5 linked regions of the Macaca fascicularis genome follow. The protein of the gene in region 1 purifies or fractionates together with the protein of each later gene. This does not show direct contact. Links are inferred from orthologs where the notes say so. Each region holds a gene or a part of one and is shown on either strand. Other genes may lie near its edges. The genes, in order: NUFIP2, ATXN2, DDX6, LSM12 and ATXN2L.

The links.
Region 2: the proteins of NUFIP2 (region 1) and ATXN2 purify together in Homo sapiens (affinity purification with mass spectrometry; 3 studies listed by BioGRID and IntAct, counting the BioPlex papers as one, with this or other methods). This does not show direct contact. The link is inferred for Macaca fascicularis from reciprocal best matches to the Homo sapiens genes NUFIP2 and ATXN2.
Region 3: the proteins of NUFIP2 (region 1) and DDX6 purify together in Homo sapiens (affinity purification with mass spectrometry; 6 studies listed by BioGRID and IntAct, counting the BioPlex papers as one, with this or other methods). This does not show direct contact. The link is inferred for Macaca fascicularis from reciprocal best matches to the Homo sapiens genes NUFIP2 and DDX6.
Region 4: the proteins of NUFIP2 (region 1) and LSM12 purify together in Homo sapiens (affinity purification with mass spectrometry; 3 studies listed by BioGRID and IntAct, counting the BioPlex papers as one, with this or other methods). This does not show direct contact. The link is inferred for Macaca fascicularis from reciprocal best matches to the Homo sapiens genes NUFIP2 and LSM12.
Region 5: the proteins of NUFIP2 (region 1) and ATXN2L purify together in Homo sapiens (affinity purification with mass spectrometry; 4 studies listed by BioGRID and IntAct, counting the BioPlex papers as one, with this or other methods). This does not show direct contact. The link is inferred for Macaca fascicularis from reciprocal best matches to the Homo sapiens genes NUFIP2 and ATXN2L.

What each region holds. Positions count from the first base shown.
Region 1 is NC_088390.1:34,779,617-34,784,080, forward strand, and holds the start of NUFIP2 (FMR1-interacting protein NUFIP2), read right to left. Parts: upstream 3,058-4,464; 5' UTR 2,969-3,057; coding exon 2,692-2,968; intron 1-2,691. UniProt on the Homo sapiens protein: Binds RNA.
Region 2 is NC_088385.1:118,383,028-118,386,842, reverse strand, and holds part of ATXN2 (ataxin-2), read left to right. Parts: intron 1-1,387; coding exon 1,388-1,692; intron 1,693-3,651; coding exon 3,652-3,715; intron 3,716-3,815. UniProt on the Homo sapiens protein: Involved in EGFR trafficking, acting as negative regulator of endocytic EGFR internalization at the plasma membrane.
Region 3 is NC_088388.1:117,622,830-117,626,644, reverse strand, and holds part of DDX6 (probable ATP-dependent RNA helicase DDX6), read left to right. Parts: intron 1-2,513; coding exon 2,514-2,636; intron 2,637-3,654; coding exon 3,655-3,783; intron 3,784-3,815.
Region 4 is NC_088390.1:65,081,503-65,085,265, reverse strand, and holds part of LSM12 (protein LSM12), read left to right. Parts: intron 1-1,153; coding exon 1,154-1,263; intron 1,264-3,403; coding exon 3,404-3,530; intron 3,531-3,763. UniProt on the Homo sapiens protein: Nicotinic acid adenine dinucleotide phosphate (NAADP) binding protein. Confers NAADP sensitivity to the two pore channel complex (TPCs) by acting as TPC accessory protein necessary for NAADP-evoked Ca(2+) release.
Region 5 is NC_088394.1:27,641,717-27,645,531, reverse strand, and holds part of ATXN2L (ataxin-2-like protein), read left to right. Parts: coding exon 1-11; intron 12-1,034; coding exon 1,035-1,235; intron 1,236-1,705; coding exon 1,706-1,881; intron 1,882-2,051; coding exon 2,052-2,162; intron 2,163-3,281; coding exon 3,282-3,494; intron 3,495-3,590; coding exon 3,591-3,662; intron 3,663-3,815. UniProt on the Homo sapiens protein: Involved in the regulation of stress granule and P-body formation.

The sequences.
Region 1 (4,464 bases):
GTATGCCAGAAATAAATTTTTTTATATCTTAGATATTTAAGAAAAATGTAAACATTATAGAATAAATTTAAGAAATTAAAGGACTCCTAGCGCTTTTATTATTTAGGGCTGCTTATACATACTAATCCTACTTCCAAAAGACTCAGCAAAACTTGAGTCCTGATAAATCTAGCTTTTCAATTAGAAACAAATTACTCAACACATTTGGCCTTCTCTTGCGCCCTCTTCTGGATAAACAAAAAAAACTGTTCCTCTTTAGGTTTGTGAGTAATGGGTTACAAAAGCCTACCTCAACATGTTACAGATAAATTTCAAAAATATTGTAATGTTTTCTTAGTTATTAGCATAATGCATGTCAAAGCAACAGTACTGTGACCAAACCATACACTCGCCCCAAATTGTTTATACTCTGTCAAAACTCCTAATTCCAGTTTCCTCCTCTTTATCCACGTCTTCCGAGATAAGAAATATTTGGAGGAATACCACCTTGAATGGTTTAGGGGCTGCTTCTACATGTAGAGAGAAGTCTTGCAAGAGTATATTTACCTGACCGATGAAATACAATTTTTCAGTCTCAACAGTAATATTGCCTTATGCAGCCATAATACGGTAGTATTTTCTCATCTTTTGAACAAGATCTAACGCTAAAAAAATCTAGTTATGTAGTCCCTAACAGTTTTTAAACTGCTCTAAATCTTTAGGATTAAACACCTAACTCGTGTGTTACGTGTTCACTTCTGTTGCATACCATCGGGTCCCTAACGAACTCCCAAAATGGAAAATCTGACACTCTAATTTCAGTCTTCAAGTTACAATCTGCAATTTAAAAAGCACTTAGTTTTTCTCCAGCTCTCAACAATTCCTTCTATCAAATTTGATACGCTGGGTTTAACATACGCTTTATGCTTCCTTTCTCTTCGATTTATATAGAGCCCTTATTTTTCAAAATATGCGAGGGTTATAAACTTTTAAACTTACTTCTCGTGAAATACTTTCTTACATGACTTTTACCCTCAATTTCTCGTTTGTTAATATTAGTTTGGGGATCAATATCGACTTTAAAATACGAAAAAACACCTTTCTTTTTAACATGGAGAGAAGCCTCATCCGAGGCAAGATGGTAGTAATCTAACCTCATGGATGAGCCACTTGGGTTCACCCTTAAGGACAAGAAAGGGGGTCAAAAAGCTCGCCCTGTTCCTCATCCTAACATTTTAAAAAATCTCTCACCTCAAAGACACTACCCAAGCTCAGAAGGTAAGTGCCGGCTGGGGAGGGGAATGGAACAAGGTTTTTGTTAATTTTTTTTTTTTTTTTTTTTTTTTTTTTTGTAGAAAATGAGCTGCTAGAAGGAAAAGGCCCAAGTGAAAGCCTCAGAGGCGGAGTCGTGAGCGAACCTGGCAGGAGACGAGGTTCCTGTGGCAGAGAAACTCGTGACCGGGGAGCTGGGTTCCCGCTGGGTACCCCACCCGGCCTCAGGCACCGCCTCTACCCAAAATGAATCCCCCCGCCGCCCCCCCAGGCCTCCTGCCCCTAGGAGCGCCGCGGCCGCCGCCGCCGCCCGCGGCCTCCTTCCCCCTCAGCTCCGCTTCGAGGCCGGCTCCCCGCCCCGACTGCCCGCGCCTCCCGCCGCACCCGGGAGCGGGAAACGCGGCCGCTGGCGCGCGGGGCCCTGCGCAGGCCGCTCCCCTCGTGGCCGCTTCCCTCCCCCACCCCAACCGCCCCCGCCCCTCACCCCAGGGACCCGCCCGGGGCCTCGCGCCGCCACCGGGTTACACAACCCCGGCCGGTGACGGGGGAGGGGCGGCCGCGGAGCGGGGGGCGGCGGCGCCCCCGCAGTGCAGGGGGCGAGGCGGCGGCCGGTGGTGATCCCAGGTCACCCAGCTCCGACGCGCCGTGTGGCCCTCGACACCCTTCCCCCCCGCTCCTCAGTGGGCCGGAGTCGGTGACAGGAATCGGCTTCCAACATGGCGGACAGGAAGCGGCCCCGCGAGGAGGAGAGAACATTCCAGCCGCGCCGGCTCTGGGGGGAGCGGGCCCGGGGCACCAGCCTTGGGAGGAGCCGCGGGACAAGACTGCGGGGTCCGGCGCCCAAAAAAGGCGTCTAGTGGTGGAAACGACCCGTGAGATGAGGGGTCCCAACAGCCCCCCCAACAAGATGGGGAGCCCCAAGGCCACAGGTGGGCTTGGGGTGGCGGGTGAGGGGCACTTCCTCAACTCAGCCTACCTACCCACCCCTGGCCGCCTGCAAAAGGGTCTCGCGACACCATCCGAGGCGGGATTCGCTAGGCCTTCCTGAGTTACACCTCGAGGGATTTTTTTGGGGGGTAGGTTTACCCCATCTCAGGGCCCCCATATTGAGGTAACTCCAGGGACGCAGAGAGGTGAATGGAAAAGAATAACGAGGTTGGACTTGCAAGGCCGACCCAGTGGGTCTCCCTTCAGCCGGGGCGGGGGCCGGGAAGGTCACGCTGGCCTGGCTGGGCCTCTCCCATGCTGGAGGGAAGGAGGGCGCTGCAAACCCCATTGCTCAGCCCGAGCCCTAGAATGAAAGGGGCATCCCCAGAGCCGGAGGGCACACACACACACACACATCCCGACCCCGTCCGCGCTTCTCGGATCCAGCCCCACCCCCATCTCCCCTGTCCTCCACCCCCAACCCCCTTCCCCCACCCGTCCTCCCTCCCAGACCTGTTTTCTTCTTCGGCGTTTCCTGGTGCTGCTGGAGGGTGTGTTTCTGCTCATGTTTCAGCGGCTTTGGCTGGGCCTTGGGGCTGCCCTCGGCTCCATGCTGCAGGTATTGGTGAGGCTGCTGGTGATGATGGTGGTGGTGGTGGTTGTGGCTGTGGTTGTAGAAATAATAATGGTGGTGGTGGTGCGGCTGCTGCTGCTGCTGCTGAGGGTGATGGTGCGGATGGTGGTGGCTGTGATGGTGCTGAGGCTGTGGCTGGCCGGGCTTCTCCTCCATTGAAAGCGGCTGGGACTCCCTGGCTGAGGCTGCGGGCTGCTGCACCGTCAGGATCTGAGACTGCTTCTCAGGGCTCACTCAGTATATCTGAGCGCGTCTCGCCAGCGCACTGGTTAACCGAGCGATTCTGCGAGATTGGCAGCCGCGCTCCAACAATCAGGAGCCACGCTGTACCGCAAGCCCCGCCCCCAGCTCAAATCCTCTTTCCTTCCCCTTCGCCGCTGCCGCCTGGCCAACGCCACTTACCCTGTGCAACCTCACAGGGCCGGGCCTTCAACGTCAGCACTATGGCTCTCTCTTCTGTCGCTTTCTCTCCTTCACCACGCAGTCTGCGAACAGCACTTTCTACACTCCTCGCCGGCAAGCAAGCTCATGTCGAGGGTAGCAGATTCCACTGGCGATTCCACTGGCGCTGGGAGCCATCTGTTGGTTTTGCACCTATTAGAATCTGGTGGTTTTTTTGTTTTTTGTTGTTTTTTGTTGTTAATCCTTTTCCGGGTAACCAGAAAGGGAAGCTCAATTCCCTTAACCCTAAGACCACTAAAGGGGCAATACAAAAAGAGGAAATAAATACATTTTTAAGAATACAAGAGCTTCACAATCCAGTAGATCATTTTGTATTCTGGATTCATTTTGCTTTGTATTCATATGCTAATCTCTTCCTTTCCACGAAGGGATTATAGGGTTCCACAATGGGGTATCTGTGTAATTTTCTAAAAGGGCACAAAGGGTTTAAATCATTGTTTCTTTGTAGTTGGAGGCAAGGGGGAGCGGGAGGAATGAAAATCTACACTGAAGGTTGTGGGTTTTTTTTTTTTTTTAATTAAACTGCAGGTGAGGTCAACTATGGCACCAAAATAGGTTTTAGAATATGAAGTTTCAAGAGCAAAGGAAGGGGAGAAAGAGCATTTAAAAGTTATTAAGTGGGATTTTTTTTGCACTTATGGAAAAAATGAAATTTAAAGAAATATTCTGTAGCGTGTTGTAGTGTAGATTTAACTTATCCTGCATTACCACATCACAGTATGATTTTCAAAAGCAAATGTTAGAGCCATGATAGTGCTTACTCAGGAAAAGAGGGTTGTGATGGGGAGGGACACAGGTTACTGATAATATTTCATTTTGGGGGCTAGGTGGTGATTATACATATATTTGGTGGTGATTATTTGTTAAACAATATACAGGTAAAATGTACTTTTCTCAATGTATGTTATAGATTGGGGGATTTTTTAAATTGTAAAATATTCATAATATAAAACTTACCATCTTAATATTAAGTGTACAGTTCAGGAGCATTAGGTACATTCATATTGTTGTAGAACCATGACCATCATCCATCTCCAGAACTTTTTCATCATTCCAAACTGAAACTTCATACCCAATAAAAATACTGTCCTTTCCCTCCTCCTTCTATCCCTTGATAACCACTGTTCTGTTTTCTGTCTCTACTAATTTGACTATTCTAGGTACCTCATTTAAGTGGGATTGTACCGTAT
Region 2 (3,815 bases), on another chromosome or scaffold:
GGCTCACTGCAACCTCCGCCTCCTGGGTTCAAGCGATTCTCATACGTCAGCCAAGTAGCTGGGATTTACACGTGTGCGCCACCATGCCTGGCTAATTTTTTTTTTATCTTTAGTAGAGACAGAGTTTCACCATGTTGGCCAGGCTGGTCTGAAACTCCTGACCTCAAGTGTTTCCACCTGCCGTGGCTTCCCAAAATGCTAGGATTATAGGTGTTAGCCACTGCACACAGCCCTGAACATAGCTTTTAAGTTCCTTTATTGTCATATTCCTTTTGGCAAGTCTATCATTTTCTGACTCACTTGTACATGTGTGTCCCACCCTTGGTCCAGCCATTGGTGCTTTGCTTTACTTCTTTATTTTTGTTATTTATTTTATTTTATTATCATTATTATTTTTTAATGAGAACAGGGTATCACTATGTTGCTCAGGCTGGTCTTGAACTCCTGAGCTCAAGCAGTCTGCTTGCCTCAGCCTCCCAAAGTGCTGGAATTACAGTGATGAGCCACTGTGCCTGGGTCATTGGTGCTATCCTTTTACTTTTTTTTTTTTTTCCGAGACGGAGTCTCGTTCTGTCACCCAGTCTGGAGTGCAGTGGCGTGATCTCGGCTCACTGCAAGCTCTGCCTCCCATGCTCACACCATTCTCCTACCTCAGCCTCCCGAGTAGCTGGGACTACAGGCGTCCGCCGCCATGCCCGGCTAATTTTTGTATTTTTAGTAGAGACGGGGTTTCACCGTGTTAGCCAGGATGGTCTCGATCTCCTGACCTCGTGATCTGCCTGCCTCAGCCTCCCAAAGTGCTGGGATTACAGGCATGAGCCACTGCGCCCAGCCCCCATTGGTGCTATTCTTTTATGTGATAGAGCCATCTTCTCTCTTTTCTTTGGATTTTTAAACATATTCCTCCTTTTACTTAGACTATTCTCCATCCCAAACACCTCTCCTAAACTTCTTTCACACCTTAGACTAGCTGAAACTTCCATTAAGAAACCTTTCTTTTTTATAGGTTGTTTTTTCTATAGAATCTCTTAGCATTTACTCATTTTGTTGTGAAGTGTCTGATCTTATTTAGATGACAAGTATAGGAGGATAGAAATTTTTTCATATTTTTCTCACCCAGCAAGCACAATTTCTGACATGTGGTAGGCATTCAGTAAATATTGAACTTTAGAGGCTAAGACATTTGAGTGCTTTGGTAACTGGTTGTGCTATATAGGTATTCTGTTATTGTTACTTTATAGTAAAAGCATTACTCTTAAAGTATGAAAAAAGCCTTAATTCAAAACATTTCATGCATATAGTTAATATTACTTTGCTTGTGCTCATGGCAAAAATGGATTACTAAAGTTATTTAAGATATTTAAGTATAATTGTTTCCTTTATTTAGTTACAGCCAAGTTCTACTTCTGAATCTATGGATCAACTACTAAACAAAAATAGAGAGGCAGAAAAATCAAGAGATTTGATCAAAGACAAAATTGAACCAAGTGCTAAGGATTCTTTCACTGAAAATAGCAGCAGCAACTGTACCAGTGGCAGCAGCAAGCCGAATAGCCCCAGCATTTCCCCTTCAATACTTAGTAACACGGAGCACAAGAGGGGACCTGAGGTCACTTCCCAAGGGGTTCAGACTTCCAGTCCAGCATGTAAACAAGAGAAAGATGATAAGGAAGAGAAGAAAGACGCAGCTGAGTGAGTAAACCTGGAACTTAGACCATCCTGTTACTCAGTTAACTTTTTTTTTTTTTTTTTTAAAGGCATTTAGGTCCTTCCAACTGTGAAGAATCCATCTGGACTTTTAGACTGCTTCATACATTGCCCTTAGTTTACAAACAGCTAGTCCAAACAAATGACATCTTAAGTAAATTAGGTTATTGCACCCTGTGCTACTCTTCTGTTCTTCCCCTTTTTTGCACCCCAGGGCTAGAAAAACAAGGCATAAATTAAGAAAAGTTTTTCTGTAAATGAACAGGAGTTGAAAAATTATCAGTTCAGGAGACCTATCTTTACTGGATTCCACTCATTAGTCACCCTCACTGTGCTGCTAGGATGAAAAACTGCCACTGTCAAGGAGAGAAGCATGCGATGCTTCTACTTGGAATTCAAAATATTTTTCATCAGAAACAGTGTTTTAGTTAATGTTTAGATTTGTTAAAATAGACTTAATTCTGCACATTCCATATATTTGTTAAATGGACTTTCAGGGGCTAACCTCAGAACTTAACTACCATTGACTTAGGTGTTCTGGGTACCAAACAATCCAGTTAAAGCTAAAGTTTTGGAATGTAGCTTATTGATAAATTGGGGACTGCTTATTCTTGATTTGAGGCAAATTTTTTTTAGAGCCATGATTTTCTGCAGGTATGTTATGTAGATAATATCTTCTCACATAAAAATTACTTCATGCTAGAATATTGGTATGTTGACTGGTGGCTCACACCTATAATCCCAGCACTCTGGGAGGCCGAAGCAGGTAGATTACTTGAGGTTAGGAGTTGAAGACCAGCCTGGCCAACATGGTGAAACCCTGTCTCTACTAAAAATACAAAAATTAGCCAGTCATGGTGGTAGGTGCCTATAATCCCAGCTACTCAGGAGGCTGAGGCAGGAGAATTGCTTGAACCCGGAAGGTGGAGGCTGCAGTGAGCCGAGATCATGCCACTGCACTCCAGCCTGGGTGACAGAGCGAGACTCTGTCTCAAAAAGTAATAATAATAAAAGAATACTGGTATGTTAAGAAGTGCTTTTAAGGATATTTTATAAGTAGCTACTGTCTTTTCAGCTCAAGTGTTTGTTGATTGGCCAGGCGTGGTGGCTCACGCCTGTAATCCCAGCACTTTGGGAGGCTGACTCAGGCAGATCACTTAAGGTCAGCCTGGCCAAGATGGTGAAACCCCATCTCTACTGGGGAAAAAAAAAAAAAAAAAATTAGCTGGGTGTGGTGGCAGTCGCCTGTAATCTCAGCTACTCAGGAGACTCAGGTAGGTGAATTGCTTGAACTGGGGAGGCAGAGGTTACAGTGAGCCAAGATTGCACTGCTGCGCTCCAGCCTGAGCAACAGAGTGGGACTCTGAAGGAGAAAATAAAGTATTTTTTGATTGCCTTTGAGAGGAGCAGTTGTATATTACTCAGATTTTTAAAAAATTGTTCTTTTATGACTATATTCTTTAAGGGATTAAGGAATTGGCAATATAAGTGCGTATGTTTCAATAAAGAGGATTAGTGATCTTCTAGTGAGAACAGTTTAAATCTATGTTTAGCAGTGTTTCTTTTTTTTTCTTGAGACGGAGTCTCGCCCTGTCGCCCAGGTTGGAGTGCAGTGGTGCGATCTCGGCTCACTGCAAGCTCCGGCTCCCGGGTTCACGCCATTCTCCTGCCTCAGCCTCCCGAGTAGCTGGGACTACAGGCGCCACCACCACGCTCGGCTAGTTTTTTGTATTTTTAGTAGAGACGGGGTTTCACCGTGTTAGCCAGGATGGCCTCAATCTCCTGACCTTGTGATCCGCCCGTCTCGGCCTCCCAAAGTGCTGGGATTACAGGCTTGAGCCACCGCGCCCGGCCTAGCAGTTTTTTTTAAATTGTCAGGTATGGAAGATTTTAGAACAACCTAAAGTCCATGTAGATTTCACTGGCCTTTTTTTTTTTTTTTAGGCAAGTTAGGAAATCAACATTGAATCCTAATGCAAAGGAGTTCAACCCACGTTCCTTCTCTCAGGTAGGTTTATTACTTTCTTTGAGGTTATTTAGTCCCCTAAAAAGAAAAATTAGTAGTCCTTCTTCCATACCTGTCATCTGAATTTTGTTTTAGTATGCTA
Region 3 (3,815 bases), on another chromosome or scaffold:
ATTGTCTCCTTTTGTGCATACTACTTTGTAGTGTTTGGTTATTAATCTCTGTTAGACATATTATCTCACCATGTTATAAATGCCTTTTAAAAACTTATTAAAATCTGTAGTCCTGGGATCTAGCCATGTTTTGTACATATATAGATGGTCCCTGACTTACGATGGTTCACTTTATGGTTTTTCAGTGGAAGTGATAAGCTTTTATTAGAAACCGTACTTTGAATTCTTAAGATTAATTTTTTTCCTGGTTAGTAATATGCTATATGATATTCCCATGATGCTGGGCATCAGCAGCAAACTGCAGCTCCCAGTCAGCCACATGATCATTGAGGGTAGACAGCTGATACTGTACAGTATACGGTGTTGTCAAGTGATTTTGCCCAACTATAAGCTAAGTGGAGCATGTTTCAAGGAGGCTAGGCTAAGTGATGATGTTCAGTAGGTTTGGGTAGTATTTTCAACTTAGGATGAATTTATCAGAACATAATCCCATTGTAAGTCAAGGAGGATCTGTAGTGTATCAGTGTTAATGTTTTGACATGAGGTTATTTTCACATTTGGTTTGTGTTTTATTATTATTACTATTTTTTTGAGACAGACTCACTCTGTTACCCAGACTGGAGTGCAGTGGCGTGATCTCGGCTCACTACAATCTCTGCCTCCCGGCTTCAAGTGATCCTCATGCCTCAGCCTCCTGAGTAGCTGAGATTACAGATGTGTACTACCCACACTTGGCTAATTTTTGTATTTTTAGTAGAGGCAGGTTTTCGCCGTGTTGGCCAGGCTAGTCTTGAACTCCTGACCTCAGGTGATCCTCCCGCCTCGGCCTCTCAAAGTGCTGGGATTGCAGGTGTGAGCCACCACACCCGGCCTGGTTTGTGTTTTAGGTAACATTTAATTCAAATCAGGCTTTTATCTTTAAGTAATGAGAGAAAACATTTATTAGTCACTGGGTACCAACACTAAGTGCTTTACTTTTTTTTTTTTTTTTTTTCATTTAATCTTTACAAGAAACCTATAAGGTAGGTGTCCTGTCAAGTAGTTACTATAGTATGTAGACATCCAGATTTTAATTTGCTTATAAAATATGTTTTATACTTCAGATGCAGTAGTTAGGCATTCGTAGGAATTCAGCTTTTGTCTTTTTCTTACACTTGCCAGAGTTTAGGTTTAATTTTTAAGAAGAGGAGTGGCTGGATAACTTGAAAGCCGAGTTTTTTCTTTTTTGTTGTTTTGGTTTGGTTTGGTTTGGTTTTTTTTTGAGACGGAGTCTCTTTGCCCAGGTTGGAGTGCAGTGGCACAACCTCAGCTCACCGCAACCGCAACCTCAACCTTGTTCAAGCGATTCTCCTGCCTCAGCCTCTCGAGTAGCTCGGATTACAGGCATGTGCCACCATGCCCGGCTAATTTTATATTTTTAGTAGAGACAGGGTTTCTCCATGTTGGTCAGGCTGGTTTTGAACTCCTGACCTCAATGCTTTGCCCGCCTCAGCCTCCCAGTGTGCTGGGATTACAGGTGTGAGCCACCACACCTGACCTTAGCCAAGTTTTTTCTAAATCCCTGTAAAGTAGTTACTACATGATGTAAACATCCAAATTTTAGTTTTACAGTTTTACAGTTGTGGAAACTGAAGTACAGAGTAGTTCTGTAACATTCCCACACAGCTAAGAAATGAAGGAGGCAAGATTTCAACCTGGCAGTTTAGCTCCAGAATCTGTACTTTTTTTTGAGACAGAGTCTTGCTTTGTTGCCCAGGCTGAAGTGCAGTGGTGTGATCTCGGCTCACTGCAACCTCCACTTCCCAGGTTCAAGCAATTATTCTGCCCCAGCCTCCCAAGTAGCTGGGATTACAGGTGCAATCCACCACACCCTGCTAATTTTTGTATATTTAGTAGAGATGGGGTTTCACCATGTTTGTCAGGCTGGTCTCGAACTCTTGACCTCGTGATCCTCCTGCCTCGGCCTCCCAAAGTGCTGGGATTACAGGCGTGAGCCACCGTGCACAGACAGAACCTGTACTTTCAAACACATATACAATACTACCTCTTTAATGAGAATCATCACATTAAAATTCTGTTGAGCTGGGCTTGGTGGTATGTGCCTGTAGTCCCAGCTTCTCAGTAGGTTGGTAGGCTGAGGCAAGATGATCACTTGAGCCCAGGAGGTTCAGGCTGCATACAGTAAGCTATGATTATGCCACTGCATCCCATCCTGGGTGACAGAGTGAAATGCTGTCTCTAAAAATAAATTAATTAATTAAATTCTGTTATAGAAGGGGGGAGGTTTATCTGTGTAGTGTAGAATTTTTTTTTCCCCTAGAAGATGGGGATCATAGATTCTGCCCCCTTATGCATATTTGACTCTGCAGTGTTGGAGAGAATTTATTGTTTTCCACCAGGAACATTTCATGGATGCTTTTGTTGGATGATGCCTTATTCTTTGACCATGTATTAACCAAAGACCTTAGACATTATTTTATTGTTTTTAAAATTGTCTTTTCTTTCTACTGCAGGCAGATAAGTTGCTGTCACAGGATTTTGTGCAGATAATGGAGGATATTATTCTCACGCTACCTAAAAACAGGCAGATTTTACTATATTCCGCTACTTTCCCTCTTAGTGTACAGAAGTTCATGGTGAGTATAAATCTGTACTTGGAATCAGTGCCATCCTATGATCTATGAGTATGCTTTTATTCATAATTACATCTTCCTATCTGTGAAAATACTTTATACTAATTATTTCAAGCCTTTGGCTCTTTCTTCAGTTGATCAATTAAAGATTTGTTTTACATAAATTAACTGACTTTTTAAGAAGGTTGTAATAGTAATTAATTAAATTCCTCATTTTTCTCTTAGTTTTTGGTGTCATGATGACATAGCCATTGGTGCTAGCTGAATTGATTCCAGTATTATTCTATATACAAAATAGAGTTTGAGTATCGTAAACTGAAATCCAAAATACTGCAGAATTTGAAACCTTTTGAGCCACAAACATGATGCTAAAAGGAAATGTTCTTTTGATTTTGAATTTTCAAATTAAGAATGCTCAGTCACTAAGTGTAATGCGCATATTCCAAAATTAGAAAAAATTTAAAACCTGAAACGCTTTTGTTCCTGAGCATTTTGGATAAGGAATACTTAACCTGTAGTAACTTAGCTGCATTTTTGAGATCTTATATCTTAATTTATTTCTAACGTGTCTTGCGTGGTGACTCAGGCCTGTAATCCCAGCACTTTGGGGGGCCAAGGTGGGCAGATCACAAGGTCAGGAGTTCGAGACCAGCATGGGCAACATGGTGAAACCCCCGTCTCTACTAAAAATACAAAAATAAGTCTGTTGTGGCAGCGTGTGCCTGTAATCCCAACTACTCGGGAGGCTGAGGCAGGAGAATCACTTGAACCCAGGAGGTGGAGGTTGCAGTGAGTGGAGATGGTGCCACTACACTCCAGCCTAGGTGATAGCAAGACTCCATCTCAGGGCAGCGGGGGGAAAATTCTGTAATGACAGATCATATATTTTGTTTTGAAGAGAGTTGCATCCCTTATAGCAAGAGTTGATTAGACAGAAACCTATAGGGTGGGTATATTTTGAATTTGAGATGAACTCTGCTTTCATTTAAGAAGAACCATCTTTTTTTTTCTCCCCTCCCAGAATTCCCATTTGCAGAAACCCTATGAGATTAACCTGATGGAGGAACTAACTCTGAAGGGAGTAACCCAGTACTACGCATATGTAACTGAGCGCCAAAAAGTACACTGCCTCAACACACTTTTCTCCAGGGTAAGAAGTAGGCTTCTGCTGTTGAATATTAT
Region 4 (3,763 bases), about 30 Mb from region 1:
GGCTCTAGCACAACAGCTCATAAACATTCCTTATTTTCATCTTGAAATGGAAATTGCACGTGTGTGTGTGTGTGTGTGTGTGTGTTGTGTATATGTATATATATATATATATTTTTTTAAGAGACAGAGTCTCGCTGCTTTGCCCAGGCTGGAGTACTGTAGCATGACCTCGGCTCACTGCAACGTCTGCCTGCTGGGTTCAAGTGATTCTGCTGCCTCAGCCTTCTGAGTAGCTGAGATTAAAGGCGTGCACCACCATGCCCGGCTAATTTTTGTAATTTTAGTAGAGATGGAGTTTCACCATGTTGGCCAGCCTGGTCTCGAACTCCCAACCTCAGTGATACAGCCAGTTAAAAGTGTGTGTGTGTGTGTGTGTGTGTGTGTGAATATATATACATATATATATATATATTTTTTTTTGAGACGGAGTCTTGCTCTGTCACCCAGGCTAGAGTGCAGTGGCACAATCTCGGCTCCCTGCAACCATCTCCTCCTGGGTTCAAGCAGTTCTCTGCCTCAGCCTCCCAAGTAGCTGGAATTATAGGAGCCCCCCACCACGCCTGGCTAATTTTTTTTTTTTTTTTTTTTTGTATTTTTAATAGAAACAGGGTTTCAACCATCTTGGCCAGGCTGGTCTTGAGCTCCTGACCATGTGATCCACCTGCCTCGGCCTCCCAAAGTGCTTGGATTACAAGCATGAGCCACCACCCCTGGTCGGAAATGTATATAGTTTTAAATCTCTCACCATCATTTGCCATCACATAGTCCCCCAGCCACACTCTATAATTTTAAAAGTGCTTTATTTTCTTCCTAGTGCTTATCACTGTCTGAAATTACCTTGTTTTCAGTTACTTTTTTATAGTTTGTCTCCCCCACCCACTTCAGGCTGTATTTAGCCTAGCATAGTGAATGTCTGGCACATGGTAGGTATGCAGTAAGTATTAGAAGGAAGGAAGGAACATTTTCTTGGAATACCGGTAACTGTTCAGGTATGTTGTGGGTTTTTTAAATTTGTTTCACTTTTCATTTCTGAGAAAACAGAAATCTGTCCAAACCAGTCTTTCCTGGCCTCCTTTCTTCAGCTTAGGTCCTGACTGTTGGGAAGAATGAAGATGAATCCTATTCTGAGTCTCTTTCCTCTCTTCCACCCTAGCTTGCCAGCAAAGCACGGACAGAGAAGGAGGAGAAGCTGAGCCAGGCCTATGCAATCAGTGCTGGTGTCTCTCTAGAGGGCCAGCAGCTCTTCCAGACCATTCACAAGACGTGAGTTGGGGGATCGGAGAGGTCTTTTGTCCTGGGGTAATGCTACCTGGTTGTGCTGTCTGGTGGCAGGCTTTTGGGTGGTTGTCTCCTAAAAGTCTACTGGGGAAGCTGGTAGGGTATTGGCAAAATGCCGGCATCCAGAGCTGCGGGTACTGTAGCCCCGTTTCCACACAGAAAAATAGTGTAATCACAGACAAGTTGTCTTCTCTGGTCTTCAGTTTCTTGTCTGTAAAACTTAGTTTTGGATTATATCACTTTTCCCAATGTAGATTGGGATGAACACGGAGTTAGAGCAGGTCACCTTCTTACCACCTCTTAAAAGACATTTTGTTGGTCAGGTGCGGTGGCTCACGCCTGTAATCCCAGCACTTTGGGAGGCTGAGGCGACAAATCACCTGAGGTCGGGAGTTCCAGAGCAGCCTGACCAACATGGTGAAACCCCCATCTCTACTAAACATACAAAATTAGCCAGGCGTGGTGGTGCGTGCCTGTAATCCCAGCTACTCGGGAGGCTGAGGCAGGAGATTTGCTTGAACCCTAGAGGTGGAGGTTGCAATGAGCCAAGATCGTGCCACTGCACTCCAGCCTGGGCAACAAGAGCAAAACTCTGTCTCAAAAAAAAAAAAAAAAAGACATTTTGTCACAGCAGAAGTCATTTGACTCTCCACTAGCTTCCCTAGCTGCTGAAAAACTGGAACATTTGACACCCCTCTCCACCCCCGCTCCCCACCCCACACTGCCTTCTGTTACTCTGTTTAACCACCCTGGATCTGGTGCACAGATGGCAGCTGGCATCAGAGCTGTTTGAGGCCGTGGTGTGAGTATCTGAACATTTACAGGTATGTGAAGGAACTCTCAGTCGCATCAGCTGCCCTGGGGCTTCCCAAGTGTGAACTGGAATGGGTTTTCCCAGTCTGGCAAGTGCCCAACTGTCTGATAATTGAGAAGAGCCAGTCTGAAGAGCAGCTCCCATTATGGGTGATAGGGTCAGAGAAGATGGGGAGTTTGTTCTCTTTTTTTTTTTTTTTTTGGAGTCAGAGTCTCACTCTGTTGCCAGGCTGGAGTCCAGTGGTTCAATCTTGGCTCACTGCAATCTCTGCCTCCCAAGTTCAAGCAGTTCTCCTGCTTTACCCCCCGGAGTAAGTGGGACTACAGGCGTGCAGCCTCACGCACAGCTAATTTTTGTATTTTTAGTAGAGACAGCGTTTCATCATGTTGGCCAGGATGGTCTCGATCTCCTGACCTCATGGTCCGCCCTCTTTGGCCTCCCAAAGTGCTGGGATTACAGGCGTGAGCCACCACGCCCGGCCTCTCTTTTTTTTTGATACAGGGTCTCACTTTTATCGCCTAGGTTGAAGTGCAGTGGTGCAATTTTAGCTTACTGTAGTCTCGATCTCCCCGGCTCAGGTGATTCTCCCACCTCAGCCTCTGGAGTAACTGGGACTACAGACGCATACCACCACTACTGGCTAATTTTTTGTATGTATTTTTAGTAGAGATGAGTTTTTGCCATGTTGCCCAGGCTGGTCTCCAACTCCTGGACTCAAGCAGTCTACCCGCCTCAGCCTCCCAAAGTGCTGAGATTACAGGTGTGAGCCACCACGCCCAGCCTGTTCTCCTGTCTTTCTAAAGGTGGTGTTTCTCCCTAGGCCAATGGTTGGCAAACTATGCCAGCACACCAGATCTGCTCCTCTGTTTTACCTATTGTCCATGGCTACTTTTGCACAACTGTGGCAGAACTCAGTGCTAGTTGTAACAGACGATATGGCCTGCAAAGCCTAAAATGTTTGTTAAGAGATCCTTAAGAGAAAAAGTTTGCCAGCCTCTGCCCTAGGCTACTATCTTAGTTTGGATTCTTGAGGCTACCATCACATTTTTATGACTCTCCAGGTCTCTTATGCTTCAGAGTAACAATTTCTGGGCTCTCCCAAGAATAAATGTGCATGAGTTTCATTGCTTTTCTAGCCAGTGGCACCCAAGGAATGTTTCTTGGCTACTATATGGGCTGCTGGTGTCTAGTTGTTGGCTGAGTGGTGAGCTGGGAACTTGGGATCAGCCGTCTGGAGTTATTTATTCATCAGACAGGAGATGTGGGATGCCCCCAAGAGGTTACATTTCGCCTGCTGTCTTCTCCTTCCAGCATTAAAGACTGTAAATGGCAAGAAAAAAACATCGTAGTCATGGAAGAAGTTGTTATTACACCCCCATATCAAGTGGAAAACTGTAAAGGCAAAGAGGGGAGTGCACTGAGCCATGTACGCAAAATAGTAAGTAAAGGAGCCTTGAAACTTTAGGGGAGAGAGGATGGTTCCTCGGGCCTTCAATCTTTAGCACCAGAGCAGGACATTGTGCTACAGTCTCTGCCTCCTGTAGCATCACTGTCTGGCCTCCCTGCACTGTGGGGCTCTGCAGCTATGGCTTGGCTACTCCTGTGGGAATGGAACCACTGGGTGATATGGAGTGAAGTGAGTGGGTGACCCTATGTCCTTTGCTGGCTTTT
Region 5 (3,815 bases), on another chromosome or scaffold:
TCTTCTTATACGTGAGTGTCTTGGTGCTCTCTAGGTGATGTGTTGGTGATATGGGGTCACTAAGTGAAGACAGGTTTCCAGGAGAACATAGTTTTTGCTCCTTTTTCTCTGGGTGTCCAGGGTCACCGTCCCTGCTCCTACTTACTCTACCTTGTGGAACTATTCCCTCAAAGGTTTTGTTTTGTTTTGTTTTGTTTTGTTTTTGAGATGGAGTCTCGCTGTGTAGCCCATGCTGAAGTGCAGTGGCGCAGTCTCGGCTCACTGCAAGCTCCGCCTCCCAGGTTCACTCCATTCTCCTGCCTCAGCCTCCTGAGTAGCTGGGACTACAGGCGCCTGCCACCACACCTGGCTGATTTTTTTGTATTTGTAGTAGAGACGGGGTTTCACCGTGTTAGCCAGGATGGTCTTGATCTTACCTAGTGATTCGCCCACCTCGGCCTCCCAGAGTGCTGGGATTACAGGCGTGAGCTACCACACCCAGCCTCCCTCAAAGGTTTTAAGCACGTAAGTGCTCCTGACATTCCCAGATAAGCCTTGGTGCTCTACCTAGGACTGGTGCTCTACCTGGGACGCAGTCGGTGCCCGTTACCCAGATGTTGAGTTGAAAGGATTAAATACTGGCCGGGCGTGGTGGCTCATGCTTGTAATCCCAGCACTTTGGGAGGCCAAGGCGGGTGAATCACGAGGTCAGGAGATCGAGACCATCCTGGCTAACATGGTGAAAACCCGTCTCTACTAAAAAGACAAAAAAATTAGCCAGGTGTGGTGGCGGGCGCCTATAGTCCCAGCTACTCGGGAGGCTGAGGCAGGAAAATGGCGTGAACCCGGGAGTCAGAGCTTGCAGTGAGCCGAGATCGTGCCACTGCACTCTAGCCTGGGCGACAGAGCGAGACACTTGTCTCAAAAAAAAAAAAAAGAAAGGATTAAATACTTACATGCCTGAACTGGTGATTGGAGTTGTTGAAGTGTTTTTTCTTTTTTCCTCTTTTGTCCCCTGGCACTGGGATGGTGGTGGTCTGTGGGTGCTGTCTCAGGGTGCCCTTAGAAAAGGACAACTCAGAAGAATTTCGTCAGCGAGAGCTGCGTGCAGCCCAGTTGGCTCGAGAGATTGAATCAAGCCCCCAGTACCGCCTGCGGATCGCCATGGAGAACGATGATGGGCGCACTGAAGAGGAGAAGCACAGTGCGGTCCAGCGGCAGGGTTCGGGTCGGGAGAGCCCCAGCTTGGCATCCAGGTGACTGTCGTGAACAGCCAGGACTATTTGGGGCTTCTGGGAGTGTCCTGGGGCCTGGGCCCAGAATTGATGGGTGCTGTGGTTTAAAGTTTCAAAATTTTGGTTTACGTTCTCTTTTTCTCTGTATTCATTTTTATATATGTGCTATTTTTTCTTATAAAAGTGAAATGTAACTGGATTCCTTGTGTTTTACAAAAACTGTCCTTGAAACTATGGTGTGATCCTAACTTTGTCATAGGTCAGGAGTTGTAGAATTGTGGAGCATTGGCCAGGTTGGTTGGCTCAGAGTTGATGTCACATAAGGTCATAAGTCTGTAGCCATAGAACATTAAACTGGGGCAGATCTTCAAGTGGAATAGTGCTGGAGCCAGGCAGTGTATGTGTGTTTGGGGGCAGAAGGGAGAGACTTTAGAAGAAGAAGAAAACGTGAGTTTCGTGGCTACCTGGCCTTATTTGAACTCTTTCCTCAGGGAGGGGAAGTATATCCCTCTGCCTCAGCGAGTCCGAGAAGGTCCCCGGGGAGGAGTTCGATGCAGCAGCTCTCGGGGCGGTCGGCCTGGCCTTAGCTCTTTGCCACCTCGTGGCCCTCACCATCTGGACAATAGCAGTCCTGGCCCAGGTTCTGAGGCCCGTGGTATCAATGGAGGTGAGTTATGAGGTGACTTTGAGGGGCAGGGCAGGGAAGGGGATGCCGAGGAGGTAGGAGGGTAACTGGAGGGGTTTGGATGGGTTGGAATGACACTGCATCGGTGGGAATATAATAGGTCATCTGCCTCCTCTGACGTTTTCTTCATCTTAAAAAAAAAAAAAAAACAGGCCCTTCCCGCATGTCCCCAAAGGCACAGCGGCCTCTGAGAGGTGCCAAGACTCTGTCTTCACCCAGTAATAGGCCTTCTGGAGAAACTTCTGTTCCACCTCCTCCTGCAGGTAAAGCTTTAGTAGTGTTGGATGAAGAAATGGATGGAAATTTGTAAAGAGATATAAATATGTCCAGTTGTTACAAATGCTGGAATGGGAGATAATTTTAAGATAGATATTTTGGGCGTTTGGGATTTAGTCATATTGGGAAATAGTTCTTTAATTTCCCTAGTGCAGAAATCTCAACCTGGCAATTCATAGGTTGTGTCTGTTTGGCAGACATCCTTTGTTTAGATTTGAATCAGTTGCTAACTTTTCTGGGGTTTCTTTTGGTTTGTTTGTTTTTTGAGACGGAGTCTCGCACTGTCACCTGGGCTGGAGTGCAGTGACGTCATCTTGGTTCACCGCAACCTCCACCTCCCGGATTCAAGCGATTCTCCTGCCTCAGCCTCCCGAGTAGCTGGGATTACAGGCGCCCACCACCACGCCTGGCTAAATTTTTTGTATGTTTAGTAGAAGCGGGGTTTTACTATGTTGGCCAGGCTGATCTTGAACTCCTGATCTCAATATCCGCCCACCGCACCTCCCAGAGTGCTGGGATTACAGGCATGAGCCACCACATCCTGCCAGTTGCTAACTTTTAAAACAGTCTGAGGCAGGCAGATTGCTTGAGCCCAGGAGTTCAAGACCAGCCTGGGCAACATGGCAAAACCCTTCTGCAAAAAATAAAAAGATTGATTAGCTAGGCCTGATGGCGTGCACCTGTGCTCCCAGCTACTTGAGAGGCTGGGGGCGGGGAATCGCTTGAGCCCAGGAGGCTGAGGTTGCAGTGAGATGGCATCATACCATTGTACTCCAGTCTGGGGAACAGAGCGATACCCTGTCTCTACATAAATAAAACAGTAGAAGCCATAGAAAATTTTAGTTTCTTTTGGATTACAGGAAGTTCTGCCAACTGAGCTTGCCTTGCTGCATAGCTCAGGTTGACTGGGACAGAATCCCAGCCACCCCTTTAAGCATTCCAGTCACCGATGATGCCCATGAGGCCATTTACCTGGTTGTGTTACCTGCCTTGGCCTTCTAGACACTTAAGTTGGTGACTCTGGTTGTATAGTGTGTAAACTTTCTTGCTGTTTTGAGTAAGGCCCTTGTATTCACTGCTGTTGACTAGCAGTAACCGTCCTACAGCTCCCCCTTTTCTTCCAGTGGGCCGGATATATCCCCCGCGTTCTCCCAAGTCTGCTGCCCCTGCCCCAATCTCAGCTTCCTGTCCTGAGCCTCCCATCGGCTCGGCAGTGCCAACCTCTTCAGCCTCCATCCCTGTGACCTCATCAGTCTCAGATCCTGGAGTGGGCTCCATTTCCCCAGCTTCTCCAAAGATCTCCCTGGCCCCCACAGATGGTAAGAGCTAGGTGTTTGAGTGCCATTAATGCATATTTAGTGTGATTTGTGGTTCTGGACAGAAGGATTTTTAGGCATTTCCCTCTCCTTGCACAGTAAAAGAACTCTCTACCAAGGAACCTGGGAGAACTCTGGAGCCCCAGGAGCTGGCTCGGATAGCTGGGAAAGGTGAGGGTGTGTGTGTTGTTTTTTTTTTTTTTTTTTTTCTGCTGAGGGTTAATGCTCCTTTATCTAGGGGAGAGTATGTCAGTTAGGAAGTTTGTTGGAAATCAGAGGCAATGTCTGTCAGCCCTTGGGTTGTAATTTCACTTCTGTAATTCT